2 linked regions of the Ovis aries genome follow. The protein of the gene in region 2 interacts with the protein of the main gene of each other region in a pairwise test. Links are inferred from orthologs where the notes say so. Each region holds a gene or a part of one and is shown on either strand. Other genes may lie near its edges. The genes, in order: glutathione S-transferase omega-2 and TFAP2A.

Region 1 (12,362 bases), on a different chromosome or scaffold from region 2:
CACTGCAGATGGTGACTGCAGCCATGAAATTAAAAGACCCTTACTCCTTGGAAGAAAAGTTATGACCAACCTAGACAGTATATTCAAAAGCAGAGACATTACTTTGCCGACTAAGGTCTGCCTAGTCAAAGCTATGGTTTTTCCAGTGGTCATGTATGGATGTGAGACTTGGACTGTGAAGAAGGCTGAGCGCCGAAGAATTGATGCTTTTGAACTGTGGTATTGGAGAAGACTCTTGAGAGTCCCTTGGACTGCAAGGAGATCCAACCAGTCCATTCTGAAGGAGATCAACCCTGGGATTTCTTTGGAAGGACTGATGCTAAAGCTGAAACTTTGTACTTTGGCCACCTCATGCGAAGCGTTGACTCATTGGAAAAGACTCTGATGCTGGGAGGGATCGGGGGCAGGAGGAGAAGGGGACGACTGAGGATGAGATGGCTGGATGGCATCACGGACTTGATGGACGTGAGTCTGAGTGAACTCCAGGAGTTGATGATGGACAGGGAGGCCTGGTGTGCTGCTATTCATGGGGTCGCAAAGAGTCGGACATGACTGAGTGACTGAACTGAACTGAACTGATATAACCTCAGATATGCAGATGATAACAGCACCCTAATGGCAGAAAGTGAAGAGGAACTAAAGAGCCTCTTGATAAAAGTGCAAAAAGAGAGTAGAAAAACTGGTTTAAAATTCAGCATTCAAAACACTAAGATCATGGCATCCAGTCCCGTAACTTCATGGCAAATAGATGGGGGAAAAATGGAAACAGTGACAGACTTTATTTTCTGGGGCCCGAAATCACTGTGGACGGTGATTGCAGCCATGAACTTAAAAGATGTTTGCTCCTTGGAAGAAACGCTATGACGAACCTAGATAGCATATTAAAAAGCAGAGACATCACTTTGGTGACAAAGGTCCATATAGTCAAAGCTATGGTTTATCCAGTAGTCATGTACAGATGTGAGTTGGAACATAAAGAAGGCTGAGCACTGAAGAACTGATGCTTTAGAACTGTGTGCTGGAGAAGACTTGAAAGTCCCTTGGACAGCAAGGAAATAAAACCAGTCAATCTTAAAAGAAATCAACCCTGAATATTCATGCATTGGAAGGATGGTGCCAAAGCTCCAATACTTTGGCCACCTGATGCGAAGAGCCAACTCATTGGAAAAGACCCCGATGCTCGGAAAGATTGAAGGCAGGAAGAGAAGAGGGTGACAGAGAATGAGATGGTTGGATGGCATCACTGACTTAATGGACATGAGTTTGAGCAAACTCAGGGAGATAGTGAAGGACAGCTTCTACAGCCCATGGGGTCACAAAGAGTCGGACATGACTAAGCAACTGAACAACAAAAAATGTATCTCAAAGAAGTATAAAAATAACATGGAAAAATGAGCTTATATAACAAGCACAAATAAACCTTCAATTTTGATGATACTTGCTTGAACGAAAAATATAAAAATCAAGCGGCATTTATTTAAAAAGAGGAAAACGTTAGAGTATAAGGTTGCCAACTTAAACTGACCTGTTTGCTTGCAGATAACATGGAATATTATACACTGGTCTCTTGAGTTGCTTATCACTCAAGACAATCCATAGATATGTAAGATATTTTCAACTCACAGAAAATCCTGATTGTACAAAACCATGGAGAAAAAATTGTACACATCAACTCTATTAATAGAGAGAAAACATTTCTATTAGAATTATTCTGACAAGTTTCAATTTCACTAGAATCTCCTAGAGTCAATATACTGGTATCAAGAGGAATGTATCAAATAATTCAAGCTCAGCGGGCATCTTTCAGATTCTGATATTACCTATGTTGTACTTACAATTCCTACTAACTTTCTATGGGACAAAAAAACAACTCAAATCTGGAACAATACTGCATACTCAGTGATCCTTAATTAGCCTGGCTAGAGTCGGACACGACTGAAGCGACTTAGCAGTAGCAGCAGCAGCAGCCCTTAACTAGCCAGAATTTCACTGATGCTACTTATTACATCTGAGAGGGTCATTGGCAAGATTAGATAACAGGAGTATGCAAAGCAACTTTAGCATCATGCCCAGCACAAAAACACAGGTTCACTTCCCTGGAAGAACCCAAACTAAGGGACTGCGCCTCCACTGTAATATTATACATTTACTTAGCAATCTGTAATTTTCAAAGTTCATCCCTCATTCAGTTGCAGAGTAGGAAGGAGATAGGTCAACGTATGTTTTCAATTATCTTTGAATTTAAAAGATTTTGTTTCAGGGCTCCTTTCCCTGGCCCAGCATTTAACTCGTAAGAAGGTAACCAGACCTGATAAAATCAGTTCAGCTAATCTTTGAAAATAAAGACCATAAAAATTCTCTATGGGCAAGAGCTATCAAACTTCTTTTTGAAAGCAAGGTCCCCCCCCTCCCTTTTCAAATTCAAGCTTATTAGATGTTTTGTTAAACACAGTGTTGAAAGCGGGGCTGGTCGGGCTGAAGCAGGCGCTAAAACCACCAGCAGACCTCCTCTCACTGGGCCGCCCCTCTGCAAAACTTGTGAACACACCTTTTAAAATACCCTTTCGTTCTATGAATGTGGAAACCAAGGCACAGAGAGGTCCAGAACCTTGATGAAGGTTCTGGAATCCTATAAAGTCAAGCCTAGGAGCCAAGACTCTTTCTACCTCATCCTACTTGCCTCCTCAAACTTAAGACCGCAGTCTGAGTTCTCAGGACCAAAGGCTGACATTTCTTACACATAATGCTGAATCCATAAATGCTAAAACTATATAAATCTGAGATAGGCAGCTGTAACTGTAAATAAATTTAACAGCTTCCACTTCACAAAGGTCAGATAGAAGAATATTAGTAATCAGCCTTCTTTTAAGGGGATAAAAATAGCGTTCCCTGGCTGCCAAAGAATTACAGCCCACCCATAGGGGAATTTATCAGTTTCTAGAACAAAGACAAAGGACGTCAAAGGACCACCTTCCAGACTATAAGAGAGGTGCAGGGTAAGTAGCCCTATTACTGCTAGATACTTGGAGGATCTGATAACAAAGATTGCTCCTTGATCACCCATAGACACTTCCCCCCCCTTTTTTTTTTTTTTAACATTTATTTATTTGGCTGCTCAGGTCTTGGTTGTGGCATGTGAGATATTTTTAGCTGTGGCATGTGGGATCTAGTTCCCTGACCAGGGATAGAACCTGAGCCCTCTGTATTGGGAAGATGGAATTTTAGCCCCTGGACTACCAGGGAAGATTTTCCCCCTTCTTTCTTAATTACAGAACTCTAATTTTATGCAAAGTGGTCCCAGCTAAGAGATTAAATTTCCCAACTTTCCCTGCAGATACTTATAACTTGATGACTAAGTTCTGGTCAATGAAATTTAAGTAATCATTGGACAGAACTTCTAGGAAAGCCTTTAAAGGAGTATGGCTTTTTGCCAGTTTTTTCCTTTCTGTTGTCCTTTCTGTAACCTGGAACTTGGATGTGATAGCTGAAGTTCCAGCAACTATTTTGTTATTTTGAGGATGTAAGCCTCACACTGAAAAATGACAGAACAGGAAGAGGAAAAAAAAAAACCTCAGTCCCTGGTAACTTCATAAAGAAGCCATCAAAACGGCTCTATACTACTGTACCTCTAGGTTTGTGTGTATGTGTGTGAAAGAATAAATCCTTATAATTTTTTAAATCAATACTAGAAGCCAAATACAATCCCTAACCAATATTGACCTTGGACTCAGAAGCAGAAGCTACAGAATCCGTGCAGAGACAGGTCAGGAATGTGGTGATTCTGGGAAAGGAACAAGTTCATCACATGCCCTCCCTTACCCCTAGGCAGATTTTCAAGAAAAATTCCAGAGGAGGTTGCTGCTGCTGCTGCTGCTAAGTCGCTTCAGTCGTGTCCGACTCTGTGCGACCCCATAGACGGCAGCCCACCAGGCTCCCCCGTCCCTGGGATTCTCCAGGCAAGAATACTGGAGTGGGTTGCCATTTCCTTCTCCAATGCATGAAAGGGAAAAGTGAAAGTGAAGTCATTCAGTCCTGTCCGACTCTTAGCGACCCCATGGACTGCAGTCTACCAGGCTCCTCCATCCATGGGATTTTCCAGGCAAGAGTACTGGAGTGGGGTGTCATTGCCTTCTCCGCCAGAGGAGGTTAGTGGAGCGCAAGTATCCACAAGTCAGAGGACCAGTAGTTGAACTTATCAAAGTCTGACAGGAAAAGTATATAAGCCTGTGAAAGTGGAGGGCATCGGGGTGACCAGGGTGTGGACCTGCATCACTTTATCCTCCACATCTGGCCAGGAGAGGGCCCCATTTTTACCTCTTCCAGGTTGCAGAACTCCTGACGCAGGGCCAGCTTCAGATCAGCGCAGTCTCTCCCGCATCTCAATGCCACCAGACACTCCTTGGTCAAATGTGGGACCTGATCGGAGGACACAGGTTCTGAGCAGAGAAGTCCGAGGGCACTCCGTGCTCCTGCTCTGCCTGACAATGCAGCCAGAGCTCTGTCCCTCTGTCCACAGTGCCACCTGACGGCGATCTCTGTGGTTTCGGGAATCCACTTGTCACAGCTAAACAAGGGGCTTTAAAGGGGGCTCTCTGGTACGCCTTACTTGTTCAGCTATTTCCAGACTGTACAATCTTAGGTGGGACATTTTCCTTCTTTAAGCCTCAGTGTTCTCATCTGAAGAAAGGACACAAGAATAGTATCCACCTTAAAAGGTGGGACCTGATGAGGGCAGTGATGGGGATTAAACAGGTTAACCTTTATAAAACAGTTAGAACAGTGCTTGGCACATCACTAGCGCTCAGTAGACATCAGTCACTAATATCATTAAGTCATTTTTGTTTCTTTAAAAAAAAGCTATCATAAAATTTCTCTATCACATTCTCTCCCAATATCAACAGCTGTCCCCTTTTCTCTCTTCTTCACATTTCCTGGGCAGTTGGCACTTTTGTTCCCCATAAAGGGCAATCTCCTTCTGTGCATTACCGTTTTCACACCCTGATATTTTTTTCACCTGAGACCTTGGAAATAGCTCCTTCAAAGTATCACCAGTTTTCCACTCTTTCAATATTCCTTGTCTCAAGTTACACAGTCATAACTATGCCATAGTCATAACTCTTGAGACTGCTCGTTCCACTGGAAAAGTAGCTATTGGCAAACACTTTAATATCAGAGGTCACAGCTTTACTATAATTCCACACTAGTTATCCTCCTAAGGCACACACAGATATTAAAACAAATCAATTTCACCAATGATTTGACTTTTAAAATGGATTGGAGGTTTAGAAAGATATATAAAGTAAAATAGAGTGTTAAGTGTTTTGTTTATTTTTTAATGGATATACCTTATAGAACAGCTCCAATAACATCTTTTGACGAGCTCGCTCATAAGGGTCATATGGGTACAGCTTCCTTCCAGGGTAAGCGTCATCCAGGTACTCACAAGCGATGACAGATTCATAGATCAGTTGACATTTGCTGTTCTCCAGGACAGGAATTTGGCCAAAAGGATGCTTTGTAAAGTACCATTCAGGCTTGTTTCTCAGGTTAATGTTGATAACTTCATGTCTTATAAAGCAAACGGAAAACAGGACAGAACAAAAATGAGAGGATTAGGCAGACACTCATCTTTTTTTCTCCCCCCCATGTGAGATCTTAGTTTCTAGACCAGAGATCAAACCTGTGCCCATGCAGTGCAAGTACAGAGTCTTAACCACTGTATTGCCAGGGAAATCCCCAGACACTCATCTTGAAAGCAGAAACAATCAATCTATAAAATTAAAATTTGCAATAAGTTTTTTAAATTGAGGTTTGTGCAAAGAAAAGTACATAACAACATCACTCTTCTTTTCAAGAGTAGGATGTGTTTGCTGTTTTCTATGCCTTATCCCATTCGCTCTCCATGATTCCCATGAGATAAACTAGGGAATCATGATGAGATGCAAACAAGGGAAGGCAAAGAAATCATTTAACACATCCCGTCTGAGAAATAAGGCTCCTTATGGTTCCATCTCTTGCCCAATATTCCCCACCAGGAAGTAGCAGAGCCAAGATGGAAGGCCAGGCAGTCTGACTCAGAGCTCACAAGCTTAACCACGGCACCACAGATTTTAGTACATTTTAAAGTCTGAAAGTACAAATCTGATATCTGGAGACATTTTTTTGTTCACCACAACTGGAGGGAGGGGGATTCTACTGGCATCTAATGGGCAGAGGCCAGGGACGCTGCAAGATATCCAACAACACACAGGATAGCTCCTCCTCCTCACCAAACACACAAGGCCAAGAATCGTCTGCCCCAAATGTCAGCATCGCCAAGGGTGAGAAACTCTGCCCTAAAGAAAGACTTCTATCAATTCTCAAGCTGCCACTTCATCACTGTGGGTAAAACATCAATCTATTGTTATTTTTTTTTTAAAAAGTAACCTTTGGGCCAACTAGAATTGAGCAAGAGGGAATAACCTGGGAAAAAGCCATAGACAATCCACAGAGCAGAATTACATAATTTTTTTTTTTAAAGTCTCTGTAATAGTCTCTGCATCTCTATAGCACAAAACTCCGAAGTCATCCCCTAATGATACACATTGGAGGCTGGAGTAACACTTTAGCTTTGAGCTGGCTCCATGCAGCCTCCCCCATTCCAGTAAAGTTGCTCTGCCTTCAAAATCCAGACCTCCTTTGCAGGAGCTAGTCTTGCAAAATTACTTCTATGACCAGTGTGCACCCATTTTTCAGGTGTGTGGGAAACGTCTTGATAGCAGTCCTTTCTGCTTCTTTGTTTGGAACTATTTGCTCATTCATTCAAAAAATAGTTTTAAGTGCCTATTATTGGCCAGGTTCTCTTCTAGCCCATGAATAAGAAAGACAAAGTCCCTGCCTTCAGGAACATACATTTGTGTGTGTGCAAGAGAGAGACAGACAGACAGACAGACAGTGTGTATGAAAGTGTGTGGAGGGGCAATGGAAGTGAGGCTGGGGAGTGCGGAGGAAAAACAGGTAAGTAAGGAAACGTTGTTAGTGCAATAAGGGGAACAGAACTGACCTGAGTATACCTGGGGTGGGGTCTGGGCTGCATTTCATAGAGCTGTCAGAGAAGGCCTCGGTAGCCTCCGCGGTCCTCTCTTTCACAAACTTTAGGGAAGAAACCCAGCTCACCAGAGCCATCATTCAGTTTGCTCCGACTGGTCCTAACAGTTTCCTGCAGAGACCTCATTCTGCATTTCAGGATGGCCCACTCAAGAACCCACCTGCCCTCTGCTAACCGTTTATTGACTTCGTCTCAGAAGAAAGTGACAGACAGCCTGTGACACCTAAGCAGGGCGCCCCAGATGGTGAACGTTCCCCAGCGCCTATGGGGCCTCCCGCCACTCACCTGATGCCTTTGGCCCGGAGGACCAGGCGCGTCCTGTGCGCGTAGGGACAGAACCTCATGCTGTAGAGGCGGATTATGCCTTCAGGGACCGGCCCTGGGGGGATGCTCCCTGCGGGTGGAGGGGGAGACGGGGAGGCGGGTTAGCCCTCTGTGGAGAGGGGCTCACTCGCCTTCCCAGAACCCCACGAGGACCGCGGTCCTCCTCCCGGGCCCCAGAGAAGACACTTTTTTTTTTTTTTTTTTTGCACGTGGCTTTTTGGCGGAGGAACCGCGATCCTCCTCGCCGCCGCGCTGGTCTGCGAGCCAAGGACCAGCAACAGCTTCTGCAGAGCCAATATCCAGCCAGCCGGCACCCCCTGCCCACGGACAACTGTCAAGGGGACTCACCTTTCCCCAAGGTCCTGGTCGCGTCATCAGTCATGCTCTCCCGGCGTCTGCGCAACGACCAACGCTCGCACTCTTTGCCGTAAGGCTTGCTGCCGCCGGCGCAGGGTCCAAGGACAGCAGCGTTCCGGCGCGCCCCGCTGGCCCCAAATACAACTTTGGAGCAACAGGGCCGTGGCGGGGTCGTAGGGAAGTGATCCAGGACGGCAGCTAAGATAATTCAACCTGAAGAGACAGAGCCCCAGACTCAGAAGCCAGTGTAGTAGGAGCGGGAAAAACAAACCTGAGAAGTACCCCTTGCTTTGAACTCACAACATCCTGCGCGGTCTTTTCTCTGCATCAAGAATCTGTGAAGAACAGGCATGTGAATTCCACTTATTCCAAGGGAATTTAATACAAATTGACCAGGGTGACACTAACGTTTTCTTTCTCATTCTAAGCCCTCCCTCCTGGCCATACTCTGTACATGAGTGTACTTTATCTTAAAATAAGGCCAAGGATTTCCCTGGTGGCTCAGTGGGACAGGACTTGGATCTCTGATCAGGGAAGATCCTATATGCCCAGAAGCAACTGAGCCCATGAGCCACAACTATTAAGCCTGTGCTCTAGAGCCTGGGAACCACAACTACTGAGTCCATGCGCCCTAGAGCCTGTGCTTCGCAAGGAGAGGCCACATCAATGAGAAGCCCAGGCACAGCAACTAAAGAGTAACCCCCAGCTTGCCATCTATGCAGCAATGAAGACCCAGTACAGCCTAAATAAATTATAAAATAAGGCCAAACTTTTTCATCATCTAGCAGATAAGAAGAAAAACTTAGTGTTAAGATCTTGCACGACCCTAAAGTGTCTCCTTTAATTCTATGTCCTCACTACTCTAGTTCCAGCCTTATTTATGAGATTTTACTCGTTATGAAAAACTAGTAATGAATAGGAAACCAGATATCTAGAGGCAGAGACAAATCTGTGCGCTCTCTTCAACTCCCAGTATACATTTCAAAGCAGACCCTTTTTAATTACCAAGGACATACTGCCAACAGCCCAGCAATACAGAGGTCACTTGGATAGCTCTTCCATCTACGTGAGATAAAGGGGGTAACTAGCCTTTGCTCTGACCCTAAATCACTGCAGATGGTGATGCAGCCATGAAATTAAAAGACGCTTACTCCTTGGAAGGAAAGTTATGACCAACCTAGACAGCATATTAAAAAGCAGAGACATTACTTTGTCAACAAAGGTCCGTCTAGTCAAGGATATGGATTTTCCAGTAGTCATGTATGCATGTGAGAGTTGGACTATAAAGAGAGCCGAGTACCGAAGAACTGATGCTTTTGAACTGTGGTGTTAGAGAAGACTCTTGAGAGCCCCTTGGACTGCAAAGAGATCAAAATAGTCAATCCTAAAGGAAATCAGTCCTGAATATTCATTGGAACGACTGATGCTAAACTGCGACTCCAATACTTTGGCCACCTGATGCGAAGAGCTGACTCATTTGAAAAGACCCTGATGCTGGGAAAGATTGAGGGCAGGAGGAGAAGGGGACGACAGAGGATGAGATGGTTGGATGGCATCACCGACTTAATGGACATAAGTTTGAGTAAACTCTGGGAGTTGGTGATGGACAGGGAGGCCTGGCATGCTGCAGTCCATGGGATCACAAAGAGTCGGACACAACTGAGCGACTGAACTGAAATGAACTGACCGGTGCGTAAAAAGGAAACAGTCAACATACTCATGTCATGTGAGAGCTTCTGGTAGACAAGGAAATGACTCCTGATCAGGTAAATGTGACACTCACATAAAGGAAGTATAGTATTTCAAATAGTTGACTTTCACATAAACAGATTCTAAAGGGAAAGGCCATATGAGGAATGTGAAACTCTCTAAACTCAAAGTAAATTATACTAACATGTATTTAATGCTTTATGTGTATTAATTCACTAAATCCTTAAAATAATCCTACAAGGAGTCTCTTCTTACCTCATTTTAAAAGACAAATAAACTGAGGCTAGCAAGGTTAAGTCACTTGTCAAAAGCCTGATAACTAGTAAGAGGTGGAAGGAGGTTTATGAAGCCTGAAAGTTTGATTTCCAGGGCAAGTCACTCCATCTGGAATCTTATTCTATACCAGAGATGGGCAAACTTTTTCTGTTAAGGTCAAGAGAGTAAACATTTTAGGCTTCTCAAGCCATCTTGTCTCAGCTACTTAACTCTACCCTCGTAAGGTGAAAATAGCCATAGATAATATATAAATAAATGGGCTTGGCTATGTTCCAATAAACCACTATTTATGAATAGTAAATTTGAATTTCATATACAGGTATATTTTAACAAACTACTTTTTAGAGCAGGTTCACAGAAAAATTTAGCAGAATATAGAGAAGTTTCCAACCAACCTATCCCCACACATGCATAGCCTCCCCATCAACATCCTGCATCAGGGTGGTACACTTCTTACAATCAATGGATCTATATTGAAACATCATTATCACCCAAAGTCTAGTTTGCATTAGGACTCACTCTTGGTGAATTCCATATAGTTTTCACATGTTACAAATTATACTTCTTCACTGAAATGTTTTCCCCTAACTATTTTTAGCCCTTGAACTGCAAAGAAATGAGCAGTGGCTTGACTTGACCCACTGGCTTTAGTTTGCCCATCCCTGGTATACACTGATGATGACTGGATTAGCAACCAAACTGAGGATTCCATTTGAAAAGTAAAAGATTCCTGGGTCCATCTTTCTACTACACTAGAAGAGAATATATTTTCATGTTGTGTCTCCTTATTCCCACCTTTTCAATAAAACTGACTCTGAGAGCTGGTAAATATTATTAAAAATACAGCTGACCCTTGAACAACTAGAGATTTCAGGGCACCGGAGAAGGTAATGGCACCCCACTCCAGTACTCTTGCCTGGAAAATCCCATGGGTGGAGCAGCCTGGTAGGCTGCAGTCCATGGGGTCGCTAAGAGCCGGACACGACTGAGCAACTTCTCTTTCACTTTTCACTTTCATGCATTGGAGAAGGAAATGGCAACCCACTCCAGTGTTCTTGCCTGGAGAATCCCAGGGACGGGGGAGCCTGGTGGGCTGCCATCTATGGGGTCGCACAGAGTCGGACACGACTGAAGCGACTTAGCGGCAGCAGCAGGTCCACCACTGTCAGCCCTTCACATCTGTGCTTCTACACCTGCAGATTCAACCAACTGCAGACCATGTAGTACTGTAGCGTGTATTCAGTGAAAAAAATCCATGTATACGTGGACTCTTGCAAATCAAACCCATGTTGTTCAAGGGTCAACTGTATACTTGTATTAATATATGGGAAGTCATGGGGCAAAGGTCTATTTGATATAGTCAGGGGAGAATGGACAAAGGGGTGGACTGTTTTTCCTCTGAAGGGAAGGAATATTATGTCAAGGTTCTCACTTGGCACTGTATTCAAACCCTGACCTTGGCACTTAGGCAAGTTATCTGACCTCTTTGATCTTCATCTTCCTCACCTATAAAATGAGAACACTAAGTACCTACTCGATGGGTTTTGAGTATTAAATGCAATTGTTCAGGTGGCTATCCTCAGTATAGTAAGAGTTTTTAGTCTACTTCAAAATTAATGATTACTCCTAGTGAATAAAGACACATTTTTAATAGTATAGTACATTCTGATTTTATATACAAAAAGATAAAATGCACTATAATTGAGCTTTGCCTTGCACATCAGAATTAAAGTTCAACTCAGAATGCTTATTTCACCAGTTACCTATTTAACAACAATTGAATGGGCTGAATGCTGCAGGTTATATTTCAGTTTTTAATCTTACCACTGAACAATATGGTTACCCTAGAAAGATTTTGTGACATATAAGTTTAACCCTATTTTCTCTTTGAGACTCAGTAAGTACCGCTTGGAAATCCTCTTTACAAATTTCCCTTGTTTGTTATTATATCATGTTTATACCTCTATTATACTGAGTCACTCAAGCAAGGAATAAATGGTAATTAGGCTACATTAAACCTACTCCAAATTGGTTTCTAGAGACCTGAAATATGATGAAATCTGTTTTGAAAATGTGGAGATCTTCAGTCCTGGGTGAAGATATCTTAAGCTTTCTAGGAAAAAAAGTGCCACCACAGAAATAATCTTTTCACTCTATTTACATGAGTCTCTGTTTTGAGGAGAGGAAATGGGGTTTGCATTTTGCAATTTTTCAAAATTGTATTGTCATACTAATCTCAAATAGCGGAAGAACTTGGAAGACGTTCCTCTTAATATTTCAGAAGCTTGATTTGCATGACAGATTTACGTGTTACTGAGAGTTCCACTATTCAGCAAGTTCAAAGAGTTAGACAAGTGAGGAAAAAGGCTCTTTTTCAAACGGGCCGATTTAGGACTTATTTCCAAGAAGTTAGGATCATAGAGAATCTTGTGTTCTAATGTCTCTGGGACATTAAACAAGATTACTAAAGTTATCGGTGGGAGAAGTGTCCTCTTTGCAATGGGGCAGGTTCAAAGGAGACTTTCTAAGTACTTGGTTCTCCTTTCATATCCCTATTTTATAACTTATGGGATCAAAGAAAAAAATTAACAATTTTCCACTTGAATAA
Region 2 (12,362 bases):
TTCTGTGTTTCTCCTCTTTGTCACTGCTTTTGGCGCTGTTGTCCGTGTGGCTGTTGGGGTTGTTGCTGAGGTACATTTTGTCCATGGCCTTGAGGGCCTCGGTGAGATAGTTCTGCAGGGCCGTAACCGCGGCGCACACTGCCGGGCTGCCGAAGCCGTGGGAGATGAGGTTGAAGTGGGTCAAACAGCTCTGGATGCCCGGCTCCAGGATGGGGTTGGGCCGCGAGTTCCCCAGGGGCGATCGGTCCTGGGCCAGCAGGTCGGTGAACTCTTTGCAGATCTGTCTGCAGCGCAAGCAGGGCAGAGAGACAGGGGGTGAGGCTCCGTGGGAGCACAACCAGCAGCGAGACAAGACCTTCCTCTCTGCAACCAGCTCTGTCTGCAGGACAGCTGACCTGACTCAGGGCCCCAGAGACAGACCAGGGGTGCAGGGCACAGCTGGGGAGACCCAGCCACCTCTCAGGAGCCATCCACACATCTCCTGCTCCTTACACACTTCCACTAACGCCCCCCTCTCTCTTTCCACCTGTGTGTCTCTCACCTCTCAGCTGCACCAAACTTTTTTTTTCCTTTGCTGTGCCCTGTGGCATGTGGACTCTTAGTTCCCACACCAGGAATCGAACCCGGTGCCCCCTGCAGTGGAAGCACAGAGTCTTAACCACTGGACTGCCAGGGAAGTCCTGAACCAAATTTCTAACCCCCATTTCTCACTCACACCAGGCATCCCTGACATAGGAAGACACTTCACCCATCCGGAGAGAAAGGAAGGTGAGTAGGAAAGGCAGGGAGTCAGAAACACAAGCATCTCTTCCGCAGCCAATAGCCTGCACCCATCAGCTGTCCTGCTCAAAATACTGTAGAGACCCTCTTCCCTGACCTTCCAGCGTGACCTCAGCAGTCTGAGGTCTGGGGGCATGAATTCTCCACTCATTCACCTTCACATCAGGGTGGGTGTGGACAAGGAAGGCAAAACTTTTCTTGGGATTGCTTTACTCTTAAAAAATAAAAGGCACTTGAATACCCAAGTGTGGGGATAATTCAGTGGTTTGGGGAAGCAGAAATAGACATTTCAATTTCCCCTGCCACCTCCTTTCCCATGCATCCCCACCCCCACCCCCACCGCCCCACCGCCCCCCACGCACCGCCACCAAAAAAAATGTCTAGGTAAAACTGTGAGTGTGGGTGTGCTTAGGAAGCTAAGAGAAGAGGGAAAAGTTGAAATACAGGCGATGAGGCCTACAGGGGTAGCTCAGTCTCTGAATCTGGGAAGCTAGGACTGGCTGGGGCCTTCCCGAGGCAGCAGCAGACTTGGGTGGGGGCTTTGGATAGGGGGCTCCACACGAGGGAGGCAGAATGGGGAGTACTGGCCGGCTGCCTCCCCCAAGGCCAGTTGATGTCTCCCCAGGCTAGAAAGTGCCCAGCCAGAGGCCTCAGCCTCTGCCCTCTGGATCCAAGCCCTCCTGGGACATCATCTTTGATAATTACCGGCTTCCAAACAAGCCTTTTAATTTCCAGAAAACATATCAAAACAGTCATTTTCTTTTCACACACCACCTGGAGAAGCCTATTCAGCCCAGGCACCAATGGGAATATAAACTTGGGCCATTTTGAAACTGATTTGACATCTCGCCTGTAGGCTAGAACTTGTGGGCTGTGAGTATGCAGCACTTTTGAGGAGGTCGAGAAAGCAAGGCAAGAAATGGGAGAAGGGATTAGGGTAGAAACTAGGCCAGCTTCTGACCCGAACATTTTGCAAGCCACTAGCTTAATCCTTGCCCTTGGAGAACCTATTGATAAGAGACAAAAACTGACACAGGCAAGTCTGTCCACTCCTTTAAGAACTTGGTTCTGGTTTTCCTAAAATAACAGTCACAAAGCCACACTCAGCTTCCCTCACATCCCCACTATACCCCATTCCCATACATGCTCTTTTTTTTTTTTTTTTTTAATGAGAAGGTAGGGCAGAAGGGAGGGGAAAGAGGGAAATACACACTCATAATCTTCCTTGTATTTCCTCTTTAAGCCCCATCATGGTTTATAAGATTGTGTTGTAATTTCAGCGTTTACAACAACAAAACTGATTAACACAAAAGGAAAAGAGGCCAAAAGTGAGAGCAAAGACGATTTTGATGTTTCTCTTTGACAGTGAGACACAGAGACCCCGAAGAGGTAAATGTCTTACTTTGTAGCCAGGAGCATGTTTTTTCTTGTCACTTGCTCATTGGGATCGGAATGTTGTCGGTTGAGAAATTCAGCTACTGCTTTGGCAGGAAATTCGGTTTCGCACACGTACCCAAAGTCCCTGGCTAGGTGGACAGCTTCTCCTGGCAAAAGGAGGAAGGAGAGGGCAAAAGAATGAAAAAAGCTGGGATCAAGACTTCCAGCTCCCTTATTTTCTTAACCCAGCTGTCGCAGGAAACACAAACGACTTGTTTCCCCACTTCAGGCATTTTCTTTCCTTCTCTGTAGGGTTCTAGCAGATGCATTTCTCAGGGAAAATGGCCACTTACCCTAGAAGGCCAAGATGATTTGAAAATGTAGATTCCATCACCTCCCCACACAGCCTCATCCCCCACCCTGATGACATTCTCCCACAATCTCTTTTAAAACATTTCTTGTGTCCCAGCCTCACACCTATTAACGTGTTCATAAAATGATATTCATAATTACTTCTTGAGCTTTTCTGCAAGGGAACGACTCAGGGTTTACATTTTAACTTTATCGCATATAATTATCTGTTCATCCAAACCGATTAACCAAGAGGATTTGAGGGTCACTCCACTGAGTCTGTCTGTGTTGTTGATTTTCAAATCTTTGGTTTTAATTTCCTGAACCAGTTGGTTTTTACTGCAGGGCTTCCTGCCATTAGCTCCAGCTCCGGAAGAACGCATGCGCCAATTAGAGCATCAAAGCCCTCTCCGCGGAGCTTGTTTCCATAAAATGGAGCGGATCACAAACAATAACAGTTCTCCAGAAACTGCCTCCCTGCTATGGGACTCAACCCCCAGACCCATGCACACTACACCCAAAATCATTACTACTATTTTTTGCTTTTGGGTCTGAATGGTGGGTTCCCAGGGCACCGGTATTATTTTTAATACAGTGCTACTGTAGATAAGTTTCTGCAACTGAACGATTGCTTATTCCTTAACAGTTACATGAGTTATCATTTTTGACACCATTAACAAGTGGTTCACAGGATTTCTCCTCAAATTTGTGTTTTTAAATATTTTAAAAATTATTTACAATGTGAGAACCTGAACTGTTATACAATATCTTCTCAAATACAAGATATAAGTAAGATAAAGTGCCATCTTTAAATATAAATGGTGGTTTTGAAATCTGCACCATAACTTAAGTTCCTTTTTTTCCTATTGGCATGAGACATTTCCAACAGAACACAAAGGAAAATGCGAGAGAATTATACATTCATTCCAACACACCCAAACTTTAGCCAATTTAGTATCAGACAAACTTAACAAGGATCTGGAGGAGGTACAAATGTGACTACCATAACTGGACTGTGGCATATATCGAAAGGGAGTGAGGACAGGGTGAGCTTTTGTTTTGAGGGGTTTAGAAGCCTCTGTGTGTGTGTGTGTGTGTGTGTGTGTGTGTGTGTGTGTGTGTGTGTGTGCTCGAGGGCACGCTTAAAAAAACTGTCATGAGAAACTTTTTGCAATGCTTATTTCTTTTTTCTTTTCCTATCCAAATAACTCAAAGTCTAAAACTGTTCATTTTTCTTCCTCTCCAGTAGAGAAGCACAATTAAATGAGAGATAAGGGAGCATATGTTTGGAAAACAAAAACCTGAAAGGGCATATAACCCTGAGCTTTCAGGATGGTCTTAAATCAGGATGCAGGTCAAAGATTCCCAAATTAATTCAGGAAGTAATGGTCACGCATTTCTCAAACGCAGATGTCAGAGTAGCTTAAGTGATTTACTGCTGAGCTCCATAAAGGAGACAGGAACTTGAAGAGTATGCAGTTCTTAAATTTTCACATTGTTTAGGTCAAAACTGGGCTGGGGCAGGGGGTGTAATTTGGTAGCAGAGGGGAAGAGGAAAGGAGGACAGGACTAAATGCAAATAGTTTTTTCACATGCAAGAATTCTGTTCACTTCCAGCTACGTTCTCTGGAAAAAAATGAAACTGCACAATTGACACAAAATATAACCAAACATCTGGCCATTGAATAGCATCCACTTTCCCAGGAGAAACTTCCCTTCTTGTTAGCAAGGGAACTCGCTTACCCTCTACTAGTGATGTGAGCAGGGTGACATTGGCAGCTTTACGCCTCCCTGCTGGCAGATTTAATCCTATTTTGTCCAGTTTTTCTCTTAAAGATCTTCCTCCATTTTTAGACTTCGCCCTGTTTCACAAATATATGTGAGAAATGGATTTAGAAAACATTCAGTTGCTCTGCATCCCACTGTACTCATTTTGACAACTTCCTAAAATTCGCTTTTAAAAATTAAGAATCCTGGCCCCTAGATATATAAGGAAAGGAAACCTGGGAAGGAAAGATCATAGGAGATGCATACTTGCTAGACTGTAAAGCACCCTCTGTGTTCATTTATTACTGCAACTATGGTGGCAGGTTAGAAGGTTTTGATTTCCCAACTCTCTAAAGAAGAACCACAAACAGATAAACACAGTTCTCATCTCCAGGGTGTGAAGTATTTTTGAGTTCAACTGATTACTGTATATTTTCCCTGTTGTTACAATCACACAAATCCCAATGGGGTCTTTAAATTGTCTTTGCTAGATCTGCTGTGAGCCTGTTCAGAGTAACCAAAGTTATCATCACTCTCAGGTTTCTTGCTCGGCTTCAGCCCCAGTGGGAAATTCATTTCACCAACTGTTTACATGCCATGTCACCAGCCTAACTGGAAATGTCAAAAGTTGATATCAGCCTTTACAAATGTCACTGAATTCAGAGACAGTGGAGGTGGTTCTAAATAGATGTCTAAATAGACTCCCATAATCAGAAAGTGGTTAAGATAAATTGTTTAAATAAAACAGCAAATTAATTAATTTCAGATTTTATTCCCTACTCAAGTGCTCTTTAATTGTGTGGATTAGATTATACTCCCCTAGGTAAACAGTCTCCAATACTGGGGATGGGGGAAGGGGTAGGAAGAGGCAGCGGCAGATTTAGATGTGTCAGTGAAAGATTACAAAGGAACAGCAAATGACTGTGAAGGAGGAAGAAAAGAGTAGAACAGCTGATGCTAAAATCTGTCCAAAAACGGTTCTGTAAGCCTTTGTATAGGATATACCCATCACAGCAGAACTCCGGGTCTATATACAGCTATATGTGTACACGTCAAAGAATGAAGTGTGGGGCCCACTTTCTTATTAAAAACTAGAAAGAAGTAGGAAATATCTGGGACCGTTCAACGCAAGACCCACCACACACAACCCTGGCTGGGACCCCAAGAAGTAAAAAGCCCACAGGAGGGACAAACTGCCCTCAGGGAAGGTGCTTCACCTCGCTGACCCTCATAAAACCTTATCTAGGAAACGAATCATTCCAACCTCGCGCGCGTTGAGATGAGAATTCCTGACCACGTAAGCAACATGCAGTCGTAGGTAGCGACCGCACAAAACGCACGTAACCGTGCCGTGCACGCAGGCTGGCACGTGCGGACGCGGCGCATCCGAATTATTAGTGCAAGTCCCTCGGGCCCGTGAAGCCTGGGGAGACGGGGACGCGGGGGCGTGGCGCGCTGACTCTAAAACCATCGTCTTCTGCTTAAAACCCTATTCAAGGGCCGCAAGCCCTCTGCGATCAGAGACCTTGCATGCAGGCAAGGCAAAGTGAGCAGCCCGAGATGAAGTTTTTCTAGGCCTGCGACACGGGCGCGAGGAGGGAACAGGCGGATGCACGGCGCCCCGCGGCTGCCGCGGCCGGGACTGAGTCCGCCGCGGAGCGAGCTGCGCGTGCGCGCGGGGAGGGGCGGGGGGCGGCCGAGCGCCGGGTGAGCGCGCCACGCCGGCCGCGCGCCCCTGGAACGACGGAGCGCGCGCGCGCGGGCGGGAAAGCGGCGGAGTGCGCAGGCGCGCGTCGCCTCGCCCCGCCCACCCCACCCCCAGCTCCCACCCACTCGGTTCTACGCTCTTTCTCCCCGCCCCTTTCTTTTCCCGCGGAGGGCGGGCCCTGGCGCGAAGCCTGTTGGCGTCACAGCCCCGGCGCAGGCGCAGTGCTTTCCCCCCGCCCCCCCGCTCTTCACGGCTGCGGGGCGGGGATGGGCGGGGCCATGCCGGGCCTCACCTCCTCAGCACTCCGCCCAGCAGCGAAGCGTTGAGACACTCGGGCGGTGAGAGGCGCCGCTGTACTTCCGCCACCGTGACCTTGTACTTCGAGGTGGAGCTGAGGAGCGAGAGGCGACCCGGAACTGAACAGAAGACTTCGTTGGGGTTCACGACGCCGCCGAAGAGGTTGTCCTTGTTGATGGGGATGGAGGAGACGGCGTTGCTGTTGGACTTGGACAGGGACACGGGGCCTGCGGAGACACATGGGGAGGCCGCGTGTGGGCGCCGGGGAGCCCTGTAGAGCCCCGGGCCCCTTGCCCCAGGCCTGCGCCGCCACCAACCCCCCTTCACCCGCTTCTCCTCCAGCCCCGAAAATCCCATGGCTCCTTCCCCACCTCCCCTAGTCCCTCCGGCTCCATCCCTGTCGGGAGTGGAAGCCTGAGCCCCTTGGCGCGTCCCCCTCCCGCCCCCGGTGACCCCGCCCCGCCAGCCCGGCTCGTCCTTCCGCCGGGACCCTTCGCCCTTTAACCGCTGGGGTGCTGTTTAGAGGTGCTGGTGAGGCGGTGACCCTCTCGCCTCTCCGCATCGGAGGACACTGGGCCCAGAGCCGAGAAAAAAAGCCCCGTGTGCATTCAGGGTGGGGTGCGGGGGAGGCGAGGGCTTCTTCAGTGTTGGGGAGAAACTGTTCAAAGACCCATAATTAAAATCAGCCGAGTCTCCACGGCTAAAGCTGCCTGTAAAAATGAGCATCTCAGTCATGGCACCCAAGCCGAAAAGTGGTGGATTCAAGGTGTCACACAGCGCACACGCCCCAACCTTTTGATAAATAGTCCTTTCCTTACCCCCCTCCCCTTTACGTTTATCTGTGAAAAGGGGTTTTGGAAGTCCATGCCAAGCCCAGTTTTGAATTGAAAAAAAAAAAAAACGGATAAACAGGCCTACCATGGAATACTAGCAATGTGTTCTTTGACGAGCAAAGAGTTAACAGTCCCTACGCTTAAGCGCCTTCTTGGGGGGAGGATATATTCTTACTAGTTTAAATCACAAGCTCTTCATTGTTGGATTCCCCCATACTTGGGGGAAAAAAAAATTCAAGGCCAGCAGGAAGTGGACCAACACGTTACATTTCTAACACCAATATAATTCAAATGCATTCACAACCATTTAAATACAGTATGCATTTGTATTAAAATTCCACATGGAGACATACTACATAATATATGCTTATCTCAGTACTCTCTTTAATAGGGATATTTTAGACGTATAGGGGGGGGTCTCTAGGTTTTGGATAGATCACTTGTGACATTAATAGCTCTGGGGAGGCTAATAGAGACAATAGGAGTTAAACGAACTCTTGAGAGATTACTAATAAAAGAGCCAATTATCATGTCGACTTGGAAAGAGCATCTCTTAAGATTTATCCCTTGCACATCTAATTTGACGTGACAAAGACTTCACAGATGCAAAAATGAAACTTTAAACTCGCTAACAATATACTGATTGGGGTTAGAAATGAGAACAGTTTTATATAGCATCATTCTCTGGTGGTGCCTTGAATCCTGAAATGTAACGTTGCCACTATAACCAAGTGGGGGGGGGGGAAGCTGCTGTGAATAGCATTTAATCCAGTAAACTTTATTTTACTCACTAAACACAACATAAATTACAAATCTATCCAAATCACTTGACACTTTTAAAAAACAATTTCTGCTCAGAACAGTTATGCTAATAAACCTGACATCTTCAAGAGGCTCATTTTAACCAAACGCCAAATTTTTGCTAACCTAATTCACAAAGTTTAAAAAACCCTTCAACACCTAATGAGAAATTCAGTATAAGAACTTGAAAGGTTTTTTCCCCCTCTGCTAAGGAGTGCTGTCTTTATCATCTGCCCCCATATTAATACTGAATTACTTGCATCGTTGTTAGCATGATGCGCTTCCTATAACACTCATGGCCACTCAGGCAGTGGATTAACTAAACTGTTAAAGCTGTTTCAAAATTGAAATGCCACTTCCAAATCTGCTCAACTGTTACACATTTCATGTGTTTGTCCAGATATCATTAAACTAAATTAAATGGTCAAGTCATAAATCAGAACAAAGCTAGCCTGTTGCCATTACTAAATCATTTGAGCATTGCTGTTCTATGCCTATCTATTCGATAATTCTGAGCCTTTAGGAAATCCTACTTGAAAAAAATAAATACACCTCTGCAAGTTCTTTTAAATAACACTGTGCCTGTAAGGACATGCTTGGAATGCAGAAGGAAATGGCTTACCTTTCTTAATTACAGTTTGATCTGGGATGTTAATACCCGGGTCTTCTACATGCTGCAACAAAAGGATACACATGGATGTAAGTGTATAATCAAAACAAAAGGAAATGAATATTTCGCGCAAGATAGGGGGAGGGGAAGGCGTAGAATCGAAATCCCCCCTCCCATCTGGTGACATTTATATATAAACATCTCATCTTGGCTTATTGGAATTTGGAGCTTTGCAGCTCAAGAGGTTTCACTGTACACCCACAGCCAATTTCTCTACCCCCAGCAAATAATCCACATTTGAAGGAGGTGGGAGTGGGGAACAAAACTTTCTTTGGAAATTAAATCGAGTTTGGGAACACCTAATCTTTCTCACAGCCTGCTCAACCTTTCAAAATACACCTAGCTTTAGTTTGGCGCCTCAGCGGCTTCGGACTTCAGCGATTCCACTGTTCAGGTAGCAAAAACCAGAGAAACACAATAGAAATGACAGAGGCGGGAGTGGCCTGGGAGTCCCGAAAACGTTTTAGGTGATGTGATAAAGAGCTAACGTGTTTGTGCACCTTCACTTACAGAGAAACAAACAAAAAATTTAAGGACTACTGTCTAAATTGAATATCAAATATCAAATTGGATATGAAAACGATAAAAAGAAGGGAGGGGGCAGCCTTTGAGGTTTCCCTGCTGTGTCCAACAGCAGATTTGTTAGTGTGGCCTTCTTTCTTCCCTTTTTTTTTTTTTTTTTTTTTTACAGATGGGTGGGTATACGTGTGCTACAGTCAAAACGTGATTAGAAAGTAAAATGAAATCATGTTTTCTAATGCAGAAACTGACAGGCAATATAATGTCTGGCTGTGTTTACAAATTAGCACCAGGGCTGCTGAGATAGAAGATTTCGCAATCGTTACCAAACGCAGACATTACCATTTAAAAAAACTATTACTTCCTTCTCTAGTCTTTGTCCAACAATAATACTGATTCGAACATTTTCCATTCTGTCTTGGATTTATGCTCCTGTTAATTGTGCCTGATCGCAATGATTCCGGGTGGATGGTACTAAGTTGCTTTATTACAGGTTTTATTATACTCAATGCTCTCATTTGTAACTTGCCTAAAGTGCTTCTGGATTTAAGTATAATTAAATTGAGAAATGTTCAGAAATGACTACTGCTGCAGTTCTTGTGTTTTAACTATATGGGGAAATATGATCCCTTTATGCATGCACCCTAAACCCATAAAGTAAATGTAGTGTGGCATAATACTTTTATTTGTGTTATTTCTAGACCTTGTCCATACAGGGAAGACTGTTAAGTTTAAAACCCCACTGAGATATTAATGATTAAATAATTTTCACCATCGATTTGATTTTCTTAAATATTTGGCGTTCGTTCTCATTAAAGGTTAACTGTTGCAGCAATGGGAAAATTGAAAACAACCCTTTTCCTGACCCAAATTCCTTTGAAAGAATTTTCTCTTAAAAGGTTGGGGGAGGAAAGGGGAAGAGCAGCAACTGGGTTTCCTTGTTTTTATTCGATCTTTTGGTTAATTTCTCCTGTAGGCCAATTTCACCACAAAGAGAGACTATACAGGTGTTAAGAATTCACACCAGCCACTTTGCAATTTTTTGCAAAGTAGAGCAATTCTAATTCACAGTAGATTTAAAAAGCTAGCAACGTTATTTTGCAATTCAAATATTTCCAAGGAGCAGACTAGGATCAGGACTCAGAGACTCTTCGGGAAGGGGAAGATCAAATGGTCACAACTTCCAAGTTTGTTTTTTAATGGCCCTTCTCCCAACTATTCCACCTCTCATTTTACTTTCCAAGAAACGCACTGTGTAATGTGTTTCTAAAACCATGTATGAAAATACACACATATGCATGCACACAAGACTTACTAAACCCCACACTAGATCAAATGCCTACTTTCCTGCTTTCCATGCTAGGCTGCTAAACATAACCAACAAATTTCAGTGATTAACTAGGCCAAATGAGAGATGTAATAAATTTTCTATTTCCCTATGTAACTTAAATAATGTTTTAAATTCACCAAGCAAGCAGGTAAGTTCATCTGACCATTTTCTTTGCAATCTAATGCAGTAATCATTAAACTGTCAACGGACATATTGCTGCAATATTTGATGCAGTAATTTGAAATAGCATTTTAGCAAAAATCACATCCAGATACATTTCCTCTCCAAAGAAAAGCAGCATTAACAGAGCCTTTACAGCTTTAATAAAATTATTGGCTTGTTCTAATTCCATTTCAGGAAGGTTGTGAGGAAACCATAAATATGTAGAATTGAAGCAGAGATGCTGGTTTAAATTTAATTTCAGAAAGTATTTTCAAATTATCAATAGCCTGGTTTGCATTGCCAAAGAGTAAATGTGCTAATACCATGCTTATTTAGAAATCATAGAAAACTGCATTTATTGATAACTGAATTAGAACTCAAAGACTGCATTGCCCAATTGTCTCAAAACATTAAAGTAATATGGGGGTGTAGCAGGTCTTGATGGGCGTTGGGAACCCAGCTAATGATTTATGAGGTCAGCACTTAGCACCCCTAGGAAGAGAAAAAAGGCTGCATTTAATGTCCTCCTGTTCGGATTTGCCACTTAGTATTCTTTAATCAGGGTAGGGTATACACGTAACTTTCAAAGACCCCCTAGCACTCATAAAATCCGGCCAAAATAATTTTCTTCGTGTGTCTTTTACACTTTCTTTTAAATCGATAGGGCATTTAAATGAGCTCTTTGGATCCACTCTAACACGTCTTTCAGGACTGGGAGAAACCCCCACGTCAGACATAGCGGTGGAATCAGATCCTCTCATAATCGAAACAGTTTACTGTCGCCGAGAGGGGAAGGTAGCGTCCACGGTGACACCAGTCTGATTTATAAATGGTAACGCAGGCATTGTTTGAAGGAGCTCTGCGAACCATTGTTCTCCCGGCCGAACTCTCAACTACTTTTGAATCTTTGGCATGCGGTTGGCTAGGTGGTGCTCAAAGGGTCCACCCGATAAAACAAAAGGAGATGTGAAGAAAGTAACCAGAGGGGAGGAGGAAAGCCCAGTCCCCGGGGCTGGACGTTCCAGGGGGGGACCCTTTCCCGGGCGTGGGTGAGCCGGGACAGCGTTTGCTCTCCCGCCGCCCGCGCGCGCGCGCGGCCTCTTACCGGCACGTCCTCGATGGCGTGAGGTAAGGAGTGGATCGGGAGGTCTCCGAGTCCGGAGCCAAGCCCGTGGGGGCCGTGCAGGAGGTCCTCGTGCCGCCGGTAGTCCCTGCGAGGATCCAGGCCCGACAGCTGGTGGGGCAGCCCCCGGTGCGTGTGCAGGAGCCCAGACTCCTGGCTCTGCCTCTGACCGGGCCAGCCCGGGTGCTGCGGCTGCGGCTGGGCGTGCAGGGGGTTCAGGCTGTAGGGGTCGTTGACGTGGGAGTAAGGATCTTGCGACTGGGGGTAGATAGGCTGGTAGGGCGGGGGGAAGTAGGGGGGCTGGAAGTCGGCATTGGGGGTATGGGACAGCGGCGGGGCGCTCGTGTAGGGAGATTGACCTACAGTGCCCAGCTGGGGCAACCGTGCCGTCCCGTTGCTGGCGCCGTCGTGACGGTCCTGGAAGAGAGCGAGGCCAAGGGGAGAGAAGACGGCATCAGGCGTCGGGCCACTCCGCCAGGCTGCGTGCGAAACCGCCCGGCCCGGCCGCAGGCCGCCGCGAGGAACCAACCCACCGCGCGGCTTTGGCAGAAAATTCTCCAAAAGCGAAACGGGCCCTTCCTTCCCCAATCATAGGCAATTTTCACCGATGCCAATCGAGGGGGCATTAGAGACTCTCCTTAGGC

Evidence for each region.
Region 1: the proteins of TFAP2A (region 2) and glutathione S-transferase omega-2 interact in binary tests that used the Homo sapiens proteins (3 or more experiments, as listed by UniProt). The two-hybrid records come from large-scale screens. The link is inferred for Ovis aries from reciprocal best matches to the Homo sapiens genes TFAP2A and GSTO2.

Annotation. Positions count from the first base shown.
Region 1 is NC_056075.1:24,531,171-24,543,532, reverse strand, and holds part of glutathione S-transferase omega-2, read right to left. Parts: intron 7,982-12,362; 5' UTR 7,794-7,981; coding exon 7,760-7,793; intron 7,482-7,759; coding exon 7,373-7,481; intron 5,569-7,372; coding exon 5,346-5,568; intron 4,417-5,345; coding exon 4,315-4,416; intron 1-4,314. UniProt on the Homo sapiens protein: Exhibits glutathione-dependent thiol transferase activity. Has high dehydroascorbate reductase activity and may contribute to the recycling of ascorbic acid. Participates in the biotransformation of inorganic arsenic and reduces monomethylarsonic acid (MMA).
Region 2 is NC_056073.1:44,835,070-44,847,431, reverse strand, and holds part of TFAP2A (transcription factor AP-2-alpha), read right to left. Parts: exon of another isoform or gene 12,345-12,362; coding exon of another isoform or gene 12,195-12,344; intron 12,194-12,194; coding exon of another isoform or gene 12,185-12,193; intron 12,184-12,184; coding exon of another isoform or gene 12,136-12,183; coding exon 11,701-12,135; intron 8,589-11,700; coding exon 8,537-8,588; intron 6,508-8,536; coding exon 6,276-6,507; intron 4,371-6,275; coding exon 4,252-4,370; intron 2,325-4,251; coding exon 2,183-2,324; intron 285-2,182; coding exon 1-284.